2 linked regions of the Astyanax mexicanus genome follow. The protein of the gene in region 2 interacts with the protein of the main gene of each other region in a pairwise test. Links are inferred from orthologs where the notes say so. Each region holds a gene or a part of one and is shown on either strand. Other genes may lie near its edges. The genes, in order: pard6a and prkcz.

Region 1 (7,926 bases), on a different chromosome or scaffold from region 2:
TCAGAGAGCGCACATGCTAATGGCTAATCTACAAAGAACTGAAAGATGTAGAGATAAGTCAAACAACAAAGCAACAGGTCATCATACTACTGACATGACCGACAGACACATGACAACAATGACAAGAAGAAAACTCAACAAACCTGTGAGGCAGTCCATGCACCCGTGACCTTCTCCGAAAAGTCCTTATTAATGATAAAGACTTTGTTGATGAGCTGAGAGAGGAAGTGGGTGGGGTGGGACTGGGTGGGAATAAAATGTTTTTGGCCTGTTGCAGGAAATTGAATTGAGAACCAATCCATGTTCTGGTATTTCATTATTTTTAAATTAAGCCCTGACATCACATTTTTAATATTATTATAACTCATATAGCCAATACTGAAAAACATGGTTTTGAGTGGCTGTTGATTTTACCTAAAAAAAAATATTATATTATATTATTAATTATGTTTTGCATCTAAACATGAATGCATTGAGTTTTCTTAACCAAACTACCTTCCTGGTTACTATCTGGTTATATGATTGCGTTGTGCTTTTCTTGTTTTATTGTTGAAGGCTGTAATGAGCAAACTTTGTGCTTTCAGAGAATCAGAGAAATTAGTTCTCTCTGATTCTTTGTTGCCTAAGTGATAAAGAAACCACACATACAATACAGCACTATCCAATCATCATTTGTGAAGTTTATACTGTATAAGTTTAGATGGATGAACAAAAAAAACTATATATATGAATATTAAAGAAAGGGAAATCTATGACATCTATTAAGCAACTACACTTCACAGAGGCTAGTAATGCACAGTCCTGTAAGCAATATGTACTGAAATGAAGGACATCTCCATTAAGTGGTTCAGGTATTTTGGGCTAGTTCTGAGGAATGTGTTCCAGAGCAGGTCCCTCCATGAATGGTCACAAGAGTGTGAATGAGACAGTGTTCTTGTCTCTATGATAAAAAACAACCCAGATAACATGCCCAGGTGGGGCCTGTATGGGTAGCCCGATTGGGAAGCAGAAAGTTTTATCCACAGGTTCCTTGTTGTTCCCACATATGGATGTCAGTGATGGGACCAGGAGCGGTTAAACATCTGCCCTCTTAAGGTGGGATGTGACGATGTGGCTCATTTCTGAAGTACATTTGGGTTCTAATAAAAACATCTCACCCATCTCAAACATCAACACCCACTCAGAGCCATGCCCACCTTGAACCCACCTAGCCCATGTTCCACCCATGTAAACCCCACATGAACATGATGATTGAGAACCCTTTCATAAAGTATTGTATCTTTCTGCTCCATATATTTTATTTTCACATTTTGTCACATTAAATGTTCTTCAGTGTAACTAATTTAAAAGCACTGATGCTCATTGCAATAAACAAAAGGTTTGGCACATTTAAAAGTAGCAGTTGTGCGATTTTAAACTTCACTCTTCTCCCAGCTATAGACACTGTGAGAAACAACTGAGAGAAGGTTTTGAAGTGAGCTGACTTATGTATCACTAAGCTAGGAGATACTTTCATGTCAAATCAGACAGAATTCCTAAGACAAGCTGCTGCGTGACTTTAATTCAGATTTTATTTATTCTTTTTTTATTTGTTACTTGTGGCCTACATTCTTAAAAGAAGACACTGCCAAGATTTCCTTGACTGACTCCACAGAACAAAAGTATTTAATCAATTCTCATTAATGTCCTGTTAAAATAATGTTTTCTAAATCCAAGGTCCAGAACATCATACCATAATGAACCACTTTTCTTTTTTTAGCGCTATACACATGACTTCCTTGTATTTTAAAGATGTCTCATCATTATGTACTCATCACAATACGCCTATCACAATGCAATGTGGACGTGATATTTTGGCAATTTAATTCATTTTAATTTATTTTGCTTTGCAGAGCCACGTGGACAATATTATTTAATATATGTAGTTTTATTGTTTTAGATATTCATTATTTAATGCATTGTTGGTTCGATAATCATGTTTGTATACATGCCCTTCAAACAACTGTTGTTTGATGAAACACATGAACACGGCAATATTTTGCATGATGGCGAACTGATGGAGTTACATTAAGTTCCACCAAATTAAACAAGGGCACTGTACAGTGGCATACTATAGCTAAAATTATTCTAAAAGAGAACCAAACAAATTGTTGATGCTCATCTACTGGCATATTTAGAGGGCTAATGTCAACATCAGTGATATTTCATCCACTAACAAAGCCCACACAAAATTACACAGTTTGATGTCTGTTGTATTTGACCTATGACCAGAGCTCCAAGCAACTGCTTGATTTGCATGAACTTTTTCCTCTGGTAGTGAATGGTGAAAAATGCTTTAACAAAAAACCTAAAACGTTAGCCCATTTAAATGTGTGTAGGGTTGCACGTTGCTTTAAATCTTGCAGAAAGGGCATTCAGATAATTAAGCAAGTGCTATTTTTAGGGTGCTTTCACACCTGCCTCGCTTGGTCCGGACTTTCGTACTTTTTAGTTTGGTCCGAACCAAATTAGCAGGTGTGAAAGGGGCCGCGAACCACCGTCCGACCAGATTTTGGTCCGACCAAGAGAGGTGGTCTCGGTCCGGATCTTTTGAACCATGGTCCAGTTCGCCTGCAGTGTGAAAGCGCTTTTCTGGATGGTTCGAAATTTCGGACCAATTACAGGAAGCTGAGCAGGCGTTCCTCAGCAACGGCAGCAGAAAAGAAAAATAACCAGCTACTACTGACTGCATCCTGCGGGAAGGCGGAGTTGGACGTCCAGCGCGTCTAGTCCCACCCACTTTGTCCACGCCACGCCTTGTCAGTCTCGCAAGGTTGTAATGTATACACAGTATTTAAGCCGTACGACGCGGCACATTATATTTAAAGTCCGCTAACTGCCCTGTACATTGTTTACTTCCGTACAGGGGCGGGACTGGACGGCATGACGCTAACAAAGTGGGCGGGACTAGACGGCATGACGCTTACAAAGTGGGCGGAGCTGGACGCACTGGACGTCTAACTCCGCCTTCCTGCAGGCTGCAGTCAGTACCCTCTCAAAATAACCGGAAAAGCAGGAAAAATGAGCCGTGGATACAGTTGCTTCAGGACAAGCACGTTCGTTTAGCGAATTTGAACTAACCTAGAGTACTGTGCCTGAAGTTGCTGCTGCTGGTATAAAAACCACAATAGCAGCACTACTATGTAGACGAAATTAATCTGTTCATTAATTTCATCCTTATCCTGGAAAGGCTTTCCATCGAATGAACCACCCGCTGAATTATCAATCAATTGTCGTCAGACGCATGTCCTTCCAAAACCAATCAGCGTCAAGTTAAGGAAAACGCATCGATACGTAAGTGATGAAAGGATGTAGGAGTATCACACAAAGGTCTTTGGTGCGCTCCCTAAACTGCAGTGTGAAAACAAAAATAAGCGGACCAAATATATACAATGTAGCAACACATGAACCTTGGTTCGGACCACGGTCCGGACTTTCAGGTGTGAAAGCACCCTTAATCTGATTATGAAACCTCTTTAATATAAGCAAATAAACAAATTTGTTATATAGTAATCAATGCAAAATGTTGGTAAAAAATTAATGCAAAACTGGATTGAAATAAGTCTTGTGACATTGCAGAAGCTTATGGAAACAATATTAGTGTGTGACCTTTTTTTGGTGCTGACTTTTTTTGGCCAGGCAGTGTATTTGTTTGTTTATTTATTTTTCACATTAGTAACAAGTGCTAGTACTAGTTAATTAGTTAATTAATACATTAATTTATTTATGTATTTATTTGTGACTGCAGTTTTTTTATTTGGTTAATATTCTGACCAAGCACACATTCAAACATTTGAAATAGCAATTTATTTGCATTTGTAGTATAGAAATTGTAATAAAAAGGTTTTGATTGGGTGGTTGGATTGAGTTTGATAAACCCTGTCTAACAAGGTAAACCAAAAAAAATCTAAATGTAAAAGAATATCAGAATTTTTTTTTTATATATTATTTATTTATTAAGTGCTGATACTACTACCTGGCCTGCTCCCTGGCGGTGACGTTCCTCGTGCGGGCGTGCCTTTACCGTGGGCGGGACGGCGTGGGTGCTTACGTCATTGTTATTGAAGGGGAACGGGCGCCGCCCACTCCGGGAGCAGCAGCCTCTAACGGTAGAGCTCGCGCTGCCCGCCAGTACTGCGGATCGAACAGAGCTGCGCGCGCCCTCCCGCCCTCCGCTCCCAGACAGACAGACACCCATCCATCCATGCTGCTCTCAACACCGCCGCTACTACTGCTGCTGAGAGCGAGCGCGCGCCCTCCGCGCTGCCTTCTGTAGGGATTTAGAGAGAGAGCGGAACGAGCCGTGACTGGAATACACACAAACACACACACACACACACACTACTAACGATGTCGAGGAACCAGAGGACGCCGCTGAAGAGCACGGACACCGTGGTGGAGGTGAAGAGCAAAGTAAGTGTGTCTCAGTCGTGCGCGCCCGAACCCGTGCGTACAGCTAGGTGTCCGTGCATGTGCGTGTGCGCGTGTGTGTGTGTGTGTGCTAGGTGCAAGACGACAAATGTGTTTGGCTTGAGCCCAAGTTGAGCGGCTCGGGCTCCGGTGTTCTGTCAAGTTTTGCTACCTTATCAGACCGTGCTACCCTAGTATATATTTAACTGTAAAAACATTAAATGAGCACCTTACTACAGCATGTTACCAGTAGGTGTGGGTTAGTAGGGTAGTTTATTTGGATAGCATAAATCACTGTATCATGGTAAAGTCATGACAAAGAGAGGTTATTATAAACAGCTTTTTCTTATTTTTTTTTAAATAATAATAATTGTATTTTTTATTATTATTAGTTTCCATCTACACTTCTGCAATGACAGTGAGTTATATTTTTTATAGATTTTTTTTAATAAACAAAAGAAACACGATAAAGAAATAAAAAGTGTAGATCAGCGCATGCGCAGTGCCTTTAGGAAGCACGTATCGATGGGTAGCACAACTCGACAGAACACCCCCCGGTGGTGGAGCGCAGTGCTGGTGCAGTGTGTGTGTGTGTGTGTGTGTGTGTGTGCGCACGCTCGATGCTATGGACGCTCGTGCGCAGTGAAGCGACCGGGCCCCGGTGATCAATTATGCATGTTGGACACCGTGCAGCGGTGCGGTAAAATATCAACCATCCGTCTGATTCTGCCCACCTGCCATCAAACCACTGCCCGTATACAGCAACGATGAGGGTCAGCACTGCGAGGACATCACACACACACAGAGCATGGACACCGAACTGCCGCCTATAGAAAGCTGTAGCCCCGGGTACACACTCGACTGTGAAATGGTACCCTACGTGTCTTCCACTGTTTGATGTAGTGTCCGAATTTTACACATTTCGCAAGTAAACCGTGGCTGGATGTCAGTGTCTTCGCTATGACACTGATACTCTCGTGTGTAAACAAACCCAGGCTGTTGTTGACTGGTCACATGCTCCCCCCCTACCAGTCTTACCCAGTCTTTACACTGGTGGTGATGGAGAAGCCAAGCTTCTTCACAGCTAAGGGAGCACGGGAGTAGGGCTGAGAGCACGGGCTGGCACAATTCTGATGATACAATTAGACACATATATACAATTATTTATATATATGTATATATATATATATATATATATATATATATATATATATATATATATATATATATACATATATACATATATACATATATACATGCCCTTTTTATTCAATAAGAGCAGTAGGGATCTCAGGCCAGGCTATCTACTAAAACACAGTGCAAAAAACAGTGTCTGACTCCTGGATCACACTGCTTGCCATCAGCAGCCGGTATCCGAAAGAGCACAAATGGTCTTATTCTCTCAGCCGTGAGAAGATGACACTTTCTTGTCACCTGACTCTCACTGTGATGTTTGGTCAGCTGCACAGGTGTCTTTTAGCTTTTATATCAACGCTGGGTAGCTATGCTTTCTTTAAATTGTTTTGGGTGTCTTTTTTATCCAATAAGGACAGTACAGATGGTTTAAACGCAGTGAAAAAACAGTGTCTGACACCAAACTTTACATATCTCAGTGTTTAGTATCGATACAGTATTGCCAAACATAATATTGTGCTACTTTGACATATTGACATAATTTTCTTACACCCATAGGATTCAGTTGAAATAAAGCTGTTTTTTAACTACCTGAAATGACCAATGGACCTTCACACCAATGAGTCTCCTGAGTGTCATATGTAGTGATGACTGATTATGATGATTGTGGCTTCCATAGCAGATTTATCTTTGTGGAGTCTTATGAGTACATAAACACACAGGCAGTGAGGAAGGTATTAGTAACAACAGTAACAGAATGTTTTAAAAGAAAAGGTTGATACGGTCAGAGGTTTATAATGTCAGTATTGATTATTTTTCGATTAATAACCCAACCCTACAGCATATCTGTTAGAAAAGGTTTTAGGGGACTGAATTGCCTGAGAGTGAAATTCTACAATGTAAGTGGATTAAATGGTACATTTAAAGTCACAAATCTAACCTCACAACTGTTGGTAAACAGTGCCTCAGTCATTAATGTATTTATGTGGATTTTAAGAAATTGTTCTTTGATAAGTTTTAACTGATTTAGATCTGGTGAGCTCTCTAAACCAGAGTATTACACACCAAGTCGTGCTGGATGACATTATTTATACAGTAACATGCCACTTTTTTCCAGAATGCCCAAGACTGCCAAATTGTATGTCTGTTCATTGACAGTTCTCCCCAGATATTACTGGCCAAGTTCATTACCACCCTTGGGCTGTCTACTGTGGGTGGTAATGCCTTATTAAGTGTTTATCTACAGAGGTGACATTGTGAATTGTTAAATGCCTGAACAACTTCCAAACTGAATATCCCATCCATCTAGCATCCACTATTACACCCCCTTCAAAATATGGTAATTAATGTCACCTTTCTCATCTGAGCATGCTAGACAGTGTTCAACCTCAAATCAAATTTCTCAGAAAATAACCATTTAATTATGCTGAAGTTTTAAACATCTGTATTGATCAATACAGTGAAAACGTTCATCTGCAATTTACAATGAGGTGAAACTTTCATGATAAACGGATGGAAGAATTGGTCATTTAGTCTTATTGCTGTTTTAGAGCTTTGATTTTTTTTAACCACAAGCTGCTGCTGACCATGGTGTTTTTGCACATGTTGTGTTTGTTGTGTTTACCCCAAGAATTTCAAAAAGGAAAGCAGCAGCCAGGCTCACTGTGGTGTGTCGCTCTCCCTACCGAAGGAATGTCAGACCAGCACACCATGAGAACTGCGTGAAAGCTAAGAATAGGAGAAGCAAAAATTCAGCATTTTTCTCGTTGTTTTCTCGTATCTTATAAAATTAGAGGTCTTGCTGTGGTCGGTGCCACTTCAGACAGACAAGGGCTGGAGTCGGATGTGGGCAGACGGCCGGGTCTGACTTTCGAAATATTGTCTGAAGGCAGTAAATAGTAGAGTGGCAGGGCTCGCTGCTTTTCCTTGGCAGTGAATCTGAAGTGTGTTGACCTTCTCTTCTTGGTCAAAGAAAGACAGTGATACTCTTAATCCTTCTCTCACTTCATTGCTCTTTCGCCCTGCTTTTCCCTCACTTGCTCATTCATGATAGAAGAATTCTGAGGGAAATCAGCGTTTGATGATGTCGTATATGATGAAGAGTGTGAGTTCTTAGTGAGTCAAACTTCACGTTAAATGTCAGGCCGGTTTGTGTTGGCTCAGGCGCTACACCACGCTAAAACACCTCCCTCCTCAGTTTCGTGACTCATGGCAGGAGCTTTTTTTAGGATCTTCTCACACAGAGCATGAATCTGTAAGTTTTGATGAACTCTGAAGGTGTGGAGGCTTAGTGTTCTGTGTAAGAGCCTGTTGTTTGTGGAATGCTGCCTGAGACTGATCTTG
Region 2 (8,563 bases):
TTAGTCCATTACTGATCTCAGCTGATCAGTTTGTCACGGATGACCCAGGCAGGGAGTTATTGATAGAAGCTGATCAATTATTAATGTTACTGGGTTATTGTTTGATGTCAGTTAGTCAATTACTGATATCAGCTGATCAGTTATTGATAGCAGCTGATCAGTTACCAATGTAACACTCAGTTAGTCAGTTACTGATCTCAGCTGATCAGTTATTGATAGCAGCTGATCAGTTATTGACCACAGGTGATCAGTAATTGATAGCAACTGATCAGTTATCAATGTCATCTGGTTATTTTTTTATGTCAGTTAGTCAGTTACTGATCTCAGTTGATCAGTTATTGATCATAGGTGATCAGTTATTGATCATAGGTGATCAGTTATTGATCATAGGTGATCAGTACATTTCTGGCAATTTAGTAGACGGAGCTACAGGGTTAAAAGTCCACAGAACGAAACAGAAATTACAGATAAATTACAGACTCCTGATACTGAGGCCTTTCTGCGGCCTCAAACCAGGAATTTCCTGAGTATTTATAACTTTACTATCATATCATAAACCAGCCCTCCCCCTCCCCCCCCCCACCTAGATTAATCATTACACACTTTACAGCTCCACAGGAATTTACATCAGACTGGAATATGACAAACAACACAGTCTTTTACACACACCTGGCCACTTTATCAGAAACACCCCACCTTGTGCTTTCTCTCTCTGAGCACTTTATTTTATTATTACAAACATCTTTGATTCCAATCACTGGCCAGTGGTTTCAGCAAGGTATAGAAAGTAAAAGTAAAGAAGGTGAAGATAAATATAAGAAGAAGGTAATATAAATATTTCAGTTTAACTTTTAACTCAGTGTGACTCAATTCTTACTCAGCGTAACTCTGTTTAGCTTGGTTTAACTCATTTTAATTTAGATTCACTTCACTCTTCTGAAAGTTGAATTCTGATCAACTTGGTTTAAATAAATAGGTTTAACTCGGTCTAACAGTGTGAAACAGACTAAACACACACAACTAGACAAAATATACAGGCGAGAGAACTCTCTGGGATCTTCTGGGTTCAGTTCTGGTTGCTAGGCAACTGACAGACTTATAGTGTGTGTGAGACGAGGCAGCAACACACAGGCACACACACACACGCAGTTTTTATCTCCTGAGCTCCTCCTGAAGCCTGAGCTCCTCCACACCCATGATTTCTTCAATCCTAAGCTGTTCCTGAACACTGAGCTCCTCCTCAATGCTGAGACCCTGGTTAACCCTGAGCACCTCCTCAACCCTGAGCATCTCCTCAACCCTGAGCACCTCCTTAACCCTGAGCATCTCCTCAACCCTGAGCATCTCCTTAACCCTGAGCTCTTACTCTGCCATGAGCATCTCCTCAAACCTCAGCAACTCCTCAACCCTGAGTTTCTCATTTCCAAGCTCCTCACTCCTAAGCTCCTTCTTTCTCATCCCTGATCTCCTCTTTAACGCTAAGCACTTCATTTTTCAGTTTTCAACCCTGAGCTCTTCCCTCCTGAGCTCCTTTACCCTGATCTCCTCCTCATCCCTGAGCTTCTCAACCCTGAGGTTCACTTCAACACTGAGCTCTTATTCAATCCTGATCTCCCCTTTAATATTGAGTTCCAAATCCTGAGCTCCAACTGAGGCCTGGGCTCCTAAACTATAAGCTCCTTAATGAGCTCCTAACCCCTTTGCTCCTCCACACCACTGAGTTTTTCAAACATGAGTTCCTCAACCATTATCTCCTCATTCTTGAACTGCTCCTCAACCCTGAACTCCTACTCAACCCTTATCTCTGCACTTCTCTTTTAGCCCTCAGCTCCCAAACCCAGTTCCTCTTCCAACGCCATATTTCAGTGATGTCTCTCCACTTTACAAACAAAACAAGCAGATACACTAATTAACTCACCTCTCTACTACATCCATGAAGAAGTCTATGCTGCAACACTTCTTTAACTTAAAATGGGTGGAGCTGAAACAGTAATTCTTTTAGGTCGTTAAATAACGTATTTCTTATTTTATTTAAACATGTTCTTAATTATTTAGGCATTTGACCTCAGTGGCATCACAACATTCACACTGTTTATTTTCAAGGTACTGAAATCACTTGCTGCTGCATGTTCAGCAATTAATAAGATTTATTTCACTTAATAACTCTCATATTGTCTCCCTACATATCATGGTAATTTTTATAAACTATTTTTGAGATCAAAATTATCTTTAAAACAAAACAAGGTCACTATGAACAGTTTAACAGCTCGGTTTCAGCTCTAGCAATTTTAACTAAAATCGTCTATCCCGCAGTTTGTCATAACAGGGTGGACGCCTCCATGACAGGAAATAAAAAGTAAAAAATTATAGTGATTAGATATGTATGGCATTGCCCTATTAAATAACACACCCCTGTGAAATTTCTCCATGACAGGCTCCCCCACATGACCAGTGATGGAGTTAGGTAACAATCTGTCTTAATGACTAACTTCAGGAAAAGTTGCTCAGATCATTACAGGAGAGCTCTGAAGGTGTAAATAAATAAATTAACAGTTAAGCCTCTGAACTGGAAGGAGACAGACCTGGCAACCGGTTCTGTTTCATTAGGCAGGCACTGGGCCTAAGGCTGAGTAAAGCAAGCAGAGAGAGCTGGAGCTTAAATGAAGTGTTTCTCAAGAAGATAAGAGGAGATAAGTTCAGCTTTTAAAAGGGAAGGGAGGAAGAAAAGATAACAGAGTTAGCAGGCTAGCTGTAGAGTTCAGAAAAGAAGTGTTCAGTTTATCCAGTAAACTACAGATGAGCTTATTTAACTGGTTCAAATAAATATTACAACCTGTCTATTTTAATCTACAGTCAGTAATTAACACTATTACGTTATATTAAATTTAGCTAAAAAAAAAAAGTTGAAAACTTTTTTTTTTTGGAACTCCCCGTTCCACCTTAAATAGTGCATCAGTTTACGTTCAGACGCTTCGGGGGTTATAGTGTTATGCTGCACCATTTAAGGTGGACTGGAGAGTTAGAAATAAAAAGCAAACTTAAGCTTTTTAAACAAGTTAAAAGTAAACATACCCTCCGTAATGAGCCTTTATCTTCACATATTCCTCATGTATTTCCATCATGGAGCCGTTTCTGACCGGCATGTTCGCCGTCTTCTTCCCGGTGCTGCTAAAGGAGTCTCCGCCAACTATCCGCGCTAACCTGCCGGGGCTCCTAGGGGCAGTTGGCCGGGCTGTGAGGCTCCAAGTCCGGCTACAGCTCCCACAGCGCCCCGCTGACCCCACTGCTGGACCCGGGGCTGCCTACAAACACACACACTCCCATACACACACACACTCACACACACCCATACACACACCTGTTGGGTTTATTGTGCTGGTAGTGCGCGTGCACGCGCTTCCCATGACCGACCTGCGCGCTCCGGGTACGGACACTCACCCTCCCTAAACAGAGCAACGGGATTACTTACACACTCACACACACCCCTCACACACTTCCAGTCTCACAGTGGCTAACACTGTGATAATCCACTTACCTTCAATTAACTTAAAAATCCTGCTAGTGATGTATAAATAAAGTCACTGGTCAGTGAGAGTGTCTACCTGTAATTAACTCTATATAACATTATAATAAACCCAAATAAACATCAAGTCAGTGGTCAGTGAGTGTCTACCTGTAATTATTTTTATATAACATATAAAACAATAAAACAATAACAATAAACCCAAACAAGAATAAATTAAGTGATCAGTAAGAGTATCTACCTGTACCTAACTCTATATAACATTATGATACTAAACGCAAATAAACATAAAGTCAGTGGTCAGTTAGAGTGTCTTCCTGTAATTAACTTTATATAACACTAGAATACTGAACCCAAATAAACATAAAGTCAGTGACCAGTGAGAGTGTCTACTTGTAATTAACTCTACATAACATTATAACACTAAACCCAAATAAACATAAAGTCAGTGACCAGTGAGTGTCTACCTGTAATAACCTCTAGATAACATTAGAATACTATATCCAAATAAACATAAAGTAAGAAAAGTGTAAATGCACTTTACAATTACAGTGGAGTATTTATGAGTGTATATTCTGTATTTACGTAAAAGTTTCTGAGCCTAAGTCAGAACATTCTGGGATTGGGTCGGAGAAAGTTCAATATATGTTATGTGTCCAAGTTCCACCACATTATACTAGAATTATTTATTTTGTTTGTTTACTTTTTATTAGTAAAAAAAATTATAATAAGGCAAAGAACCAGTCAGACGTTGAAATAGTTGTTTTAGTTGTCATTAATCCATGTAGAACCACAGCCTTCACTAATAAACCTAACTTTTTGGTGTAGGGTCTAACAGACATAACAATATAAATATGGAGGATAAAAATTATTATTATTATTATTATTATTATTATTATTATTGTGGCATTTTCTTTAGTTATTTGTAATCCAATTATTTTTGTTTCATACGCATTTACCTGCTTTACTGACTGAAAGCTGAAAGGCTGGTGTTTTGGCGCCACCTGCAGGCTGAGTAAGATTCAGCAGCCCTTTCAAAACAGAAGGTGTGTGTTAGGATTAATATATTTTACAGTAAAAACTTTTAAAGCTTAAAAAGCAAAACAAATACAGAGTAGACTGCTTTCAAAACAAAATACAGCTGATATCACAGTATAACTGAATCATGATATATTGCAATATGGCACACTTTACCCTACTGGTCGTTTTAAAAAGGTTTTGGAAAGGTTATTATGTAACATGTGACATTAAAATGTCAAAAAAAAATTGTATCGCAACATAATTATAACGTTTCTCACATTTCTAGACAATTATTAACATTATGAAAACGTTTTTTTATGCAAGTACTAAAAATTCAGCTGTGACTGAATTAGTTTGTTGTTACATTATTTATGTTTTTTTTTTTCATTTTGTTACACTATTTTAGTATTTTTTTTTTAAATATAAAATAAAATGTTAAGGTAAAGTTAGTATTAATGTTTTTGCTTCAAATGTATAAAACTCTAAAATTCTCTTAATATTTTTTTCCCAGTAATATATTCTTAAAATTAATTAGTATAATGTAAGTAAAAAATTAGTATTAATTAGTAAATTAGTAAAAATCATATCGCCAAAAATATTTTTATAGCAAAAATACCCTAAAATATCGTGGAAGTATTTTAGGAACACAATGCCCACACACACACACACACACACACACACACACACACACACACACAGGTGTGGATTAGAGGGAGAGTACAGCTTTAAGACTGAGGCGCTTTTTTTAGAGCTTTTCCCTCAGATTAGTTTTGCTAGCCGCTAAACCTGCCTGTGAGAATATTTAACTACACCTGTAATCAGGTTTAATATCGATTATATCTGATATCCCCGAGCTGCTGGAGGCTGTGCGGGACGGATAGTTTGTGTTGTGGGATAATAATCGATATTTTCGCTGTTTGAGTTTTTGTTTTACCTCAGAGCTGAGGTAAAGTTAGCACACAGGCTAGCTAGGTTAGCTTAGCTTAAGCTTTCACTGCATCTCTTCAGAGCAGCAGAGCTTAGCATGCTGGCTAGCTAACCTAGCTAGCTAATATGCCGCAGCTCGGGAAGGTCGGAGATGTTGTATTATTAGAGAAGATCGGGGCGAGGTTCGGGTCCGGGCTGGAGGTTTGGACCGGTCAGTTCTGCGGTCCTGTGGGTTTCACACCTTAAACCCGCTAATTTATGGATCAGAGATGGAGATGATTGTGCTGCTCACAGCTCTGCTGGGTCAGTAGCGTTAACTCAGCCTGCTCTCCTTCATCAAATTCGATCATTTAACACTGCTCCTGTTTTTATCTCAGACTCAGAGATCTTCTGTTTTATAGGAGATTTCTCAGCTCTAAATATCTTTAAAACTTTGTGTGGTAATACAGGTTATTGGTCAGTGTAAAATTTATCAGTTTAATTTTCATACCATTTCAGGCTAAAATTTTCATTAACAATTGGTATAAAACTTCATTATTTAATTTTTTAGAAGAAACTGATCTGGTTTTCCTATCTTTAGTTTTTCATTTCTGCGTTTCGCTAACATAACTTACTTATTTACTTATCTTTTTCATTTTTACCATATAGTGTAGTATAGAAGAAGTTTATATATATATATATAACTTTAGAATTTCAGGGAAAATAAAAAATCTTTCTTAATTTTTAGATTTTTACATTTTGTAACAAAAGTAAGTTCCTTTATACTATCAGATTACTGTTACAAGATACACAAATTGAAAAATCATTAAAAATAATTTAGATCACTTTTTTTTATTTTGTTAGTGAAAGGGAGAAATGAAAAACTAAAGACTGAAAAACAGATCAGTATCTTTCTCACCAAAGTAAATGGAACAAAAATGAAACAATGAAGTTTTATACCCAATTGTATGATAAAAACCCCCCAGTGTGCTGGAGAAACTATGGAAATCTAAATGCTATCCATTACCATATATTTTTTGGCACTGCCCCAGTATTAAATTACTGGAAGAGGATACACAAAGCCTTGCAAGAGATCTTTCAATTTGAAATAGATACTGTCAGTTCTAAATTGTTAATCTCTTGTTGCTTTTCTTAATTTTTTGGGGGTAAAAATAAAATAAAATAAGGCAATGAGATCTTTGAAAGTGCACAGTTGGTTTATTAATACAACACTGTTTTTATACACACCGTACCTTCTGGTAGTTCTTTGTACACTGTCATCTAATGCATGAATTTCTGGTGTTGCTAAAAATATCTATGTAATGTTCATGATATTCTTGGAGATTAATAAGTATATTATTAATTTGAAGAATATACTAGTCCAATATTTATTTTGATGCATAACAGTTTGTATCTTCTTTTTTCTTTTTGAACAGTCGGACAAGTCTCTGTCTGGAACGTTCTGGGGTTCGGTAAGTTGATCACTGTACACAACCAACACAACAGCACTAATAGAGGACAGGTCAGAGATATGAAACCAAATGCTGTTCCAGTTTCCCTTTCCATCACTGTTCTCCAGTAGATTCTTTGTGTAGTGAACATGTGATGCAGAACCTGCCTGCTCTCCTACAGCAGTTCTGTTGCAGCTATACAGAAAAGATCAGGTGCTTTGTAGTAAAACATGAAAATAGTCCACCTCCACTCTCCCACAGCTTTCTGAGATCCAGTAATTTTGTGCAGTTTCTCCAAACATATTTTGCCCCTGCAGATAAATCACTTTTTACACCGTTATTCAGGCTCAAAGTAGCTCCACACCTTATTGTTAGAATCCGGAGAGCTCTGACATTTTAAAGGAGGCATTAATAACTTTGAAAGTGCGCAAGAAGCTTATTAAAACCACTGTGCACAACCCATAGCATAACCTAACCTAAAAATATGCCCCATATCATCCATTCTAAAGCATGTTTGGAGAAACCGTACAAAATTACTGGATCGCTGAAAGGTGTAGGAGAGCGGAGGTGTGCTATTCAACAGAGGTTAGTACTCTTTATCATGTTTTACTACACCCAAAGTCAATTTTACACCAGAGTTCTTTCCACTTCAAACTCTAGAATTAGTGTAATCTGTTATTAGTGTGATCTTCAATGCTGGATTGTGTAGTAACCTCTCTCTGTCTCTTTCTCCCTCTCTCGCGCTCTCTCTCTCTCTATCTCTGTCTCTGTCTCTAGATGAGTTGCGGGTGAGGCTGGGCAGTGTGGAGGGGTCCCGCTGCTCTGGCCGTGTGGAGGTGTTTATAGGTGAGCGGTGGGGCACAGTGTGTTCTCAGGGGTGGGATCTGCGGGATGCAGCAGTGGTGTGCAGAGAGCTGGACTGTGGCTTCGCCTTCACCACACGGCCGGGGGCACACTACAGCCGATCCATCGGGGAGGTGTGGTGGAGGAACGTCGGGTGCTCAGGGGACGAGTTCACACTGGACCTGTGCGAGCGCACCACCAACGATGGAGTGTGTTTACACAACGAAGATGCAGGAGTGGAGTGCACAGGTGAGAGACAAGCAATAGATGCTTATATCCCACTAATTAGTGCTGAATCTATGATCCAATTAGCACTGGAGCTATGAGGCTTATGTTGCTAGAAAGGAAAGGAAGCTTATATCCCAACAATTAGCACTGGAGTTCTGAAGATATAAAGATAATATACAGTATGAAAGACTCACTTTGTTAACAGTCTTAACAGGACTGAACTCTAATCAGTGACCTTACATTTTATTCTGCAGATAAACTTCCTGCGCCCACCCTGACCATGCAGTCCCCCTTCTCTGCGTATTCAGCTGGAGAGGCTGTCCTCTTCACCTGCACTGCCCCCTACTGGCGGCACCCTATTGATTTCTACCTGTATAAGAGTGGTGTGGACACTCCTCTGGTGACGCAGCGGGCAGATTTCAGACAGACGCGAGTGGAGCTGACCCTGTCTGACCTGGAAACCTCTCACCAGGGCAGCTACAGCTGCCTCTACCGCCTCCAGGGTAACCCTGGCAACTCGCCATCCAGCAACATCATCAACATTACTGTCTGTAAGTAAAGCTCATTGAACCTTCAGTTTCCAGTAAGTTAA

The links.
Region 1: the proteins of prkcz (region 2) and pard6a interact in binary tests that used the Homo sapiens proteins (3 or more experiments, as listed by UniProt). The link is inferred for Astyanax mexicanus from reciprocal best matches to the Homo sapiens genes PRKCZ and PARD6A.

What each region holds. Positions count from the first base shown.
Region 1 is NC_064416.1:25,813,046-25,820,971, reverse strand, and holds the start of pard6a (partitioning defective 6 homolog alpha), read left to right. Parts: upstream 1-4,121; 5' UTR 4,122-4,389; coding exon 4,390-4,452; intron 4,453-7,926. UniProt on the Homo sapiens protein: Adapter protein involved in asymmetrical cell division and cell polarization processes. Probably involved in the formation of epithelial tight junctions.
Region 2 is NC_064419.1:7,968,772-7,977,334, reverse strand, and holds the start of prkcz (protein kinase C zeta type), read right to left. Parts: upstream 3,590-8,563; 5' UTR 3,144-3,589; coding exon 3,073-3,143; intron 1-3,072. Other genes in the region: uncharacterized protein si:ch211-150o23.3, read left to right, coding at 5,740-5,773, 6,886-6,921, 7,678-7,992, 8,226-8,522. UniProt on the Homo sapiens protein: Calcium- and diacylglycerol-independent serine/threonine-protein kinase that functions in phosphatidylinositol 3-kinase (PI3K) pathway and mitogen-activated protein (MAP) kinase cascade, and is involved in NF-kappa-B activation, mitogenic signaling, cell proliferation, cell polarity, inflammatory response and maintenance of long-term potentiation (LTP).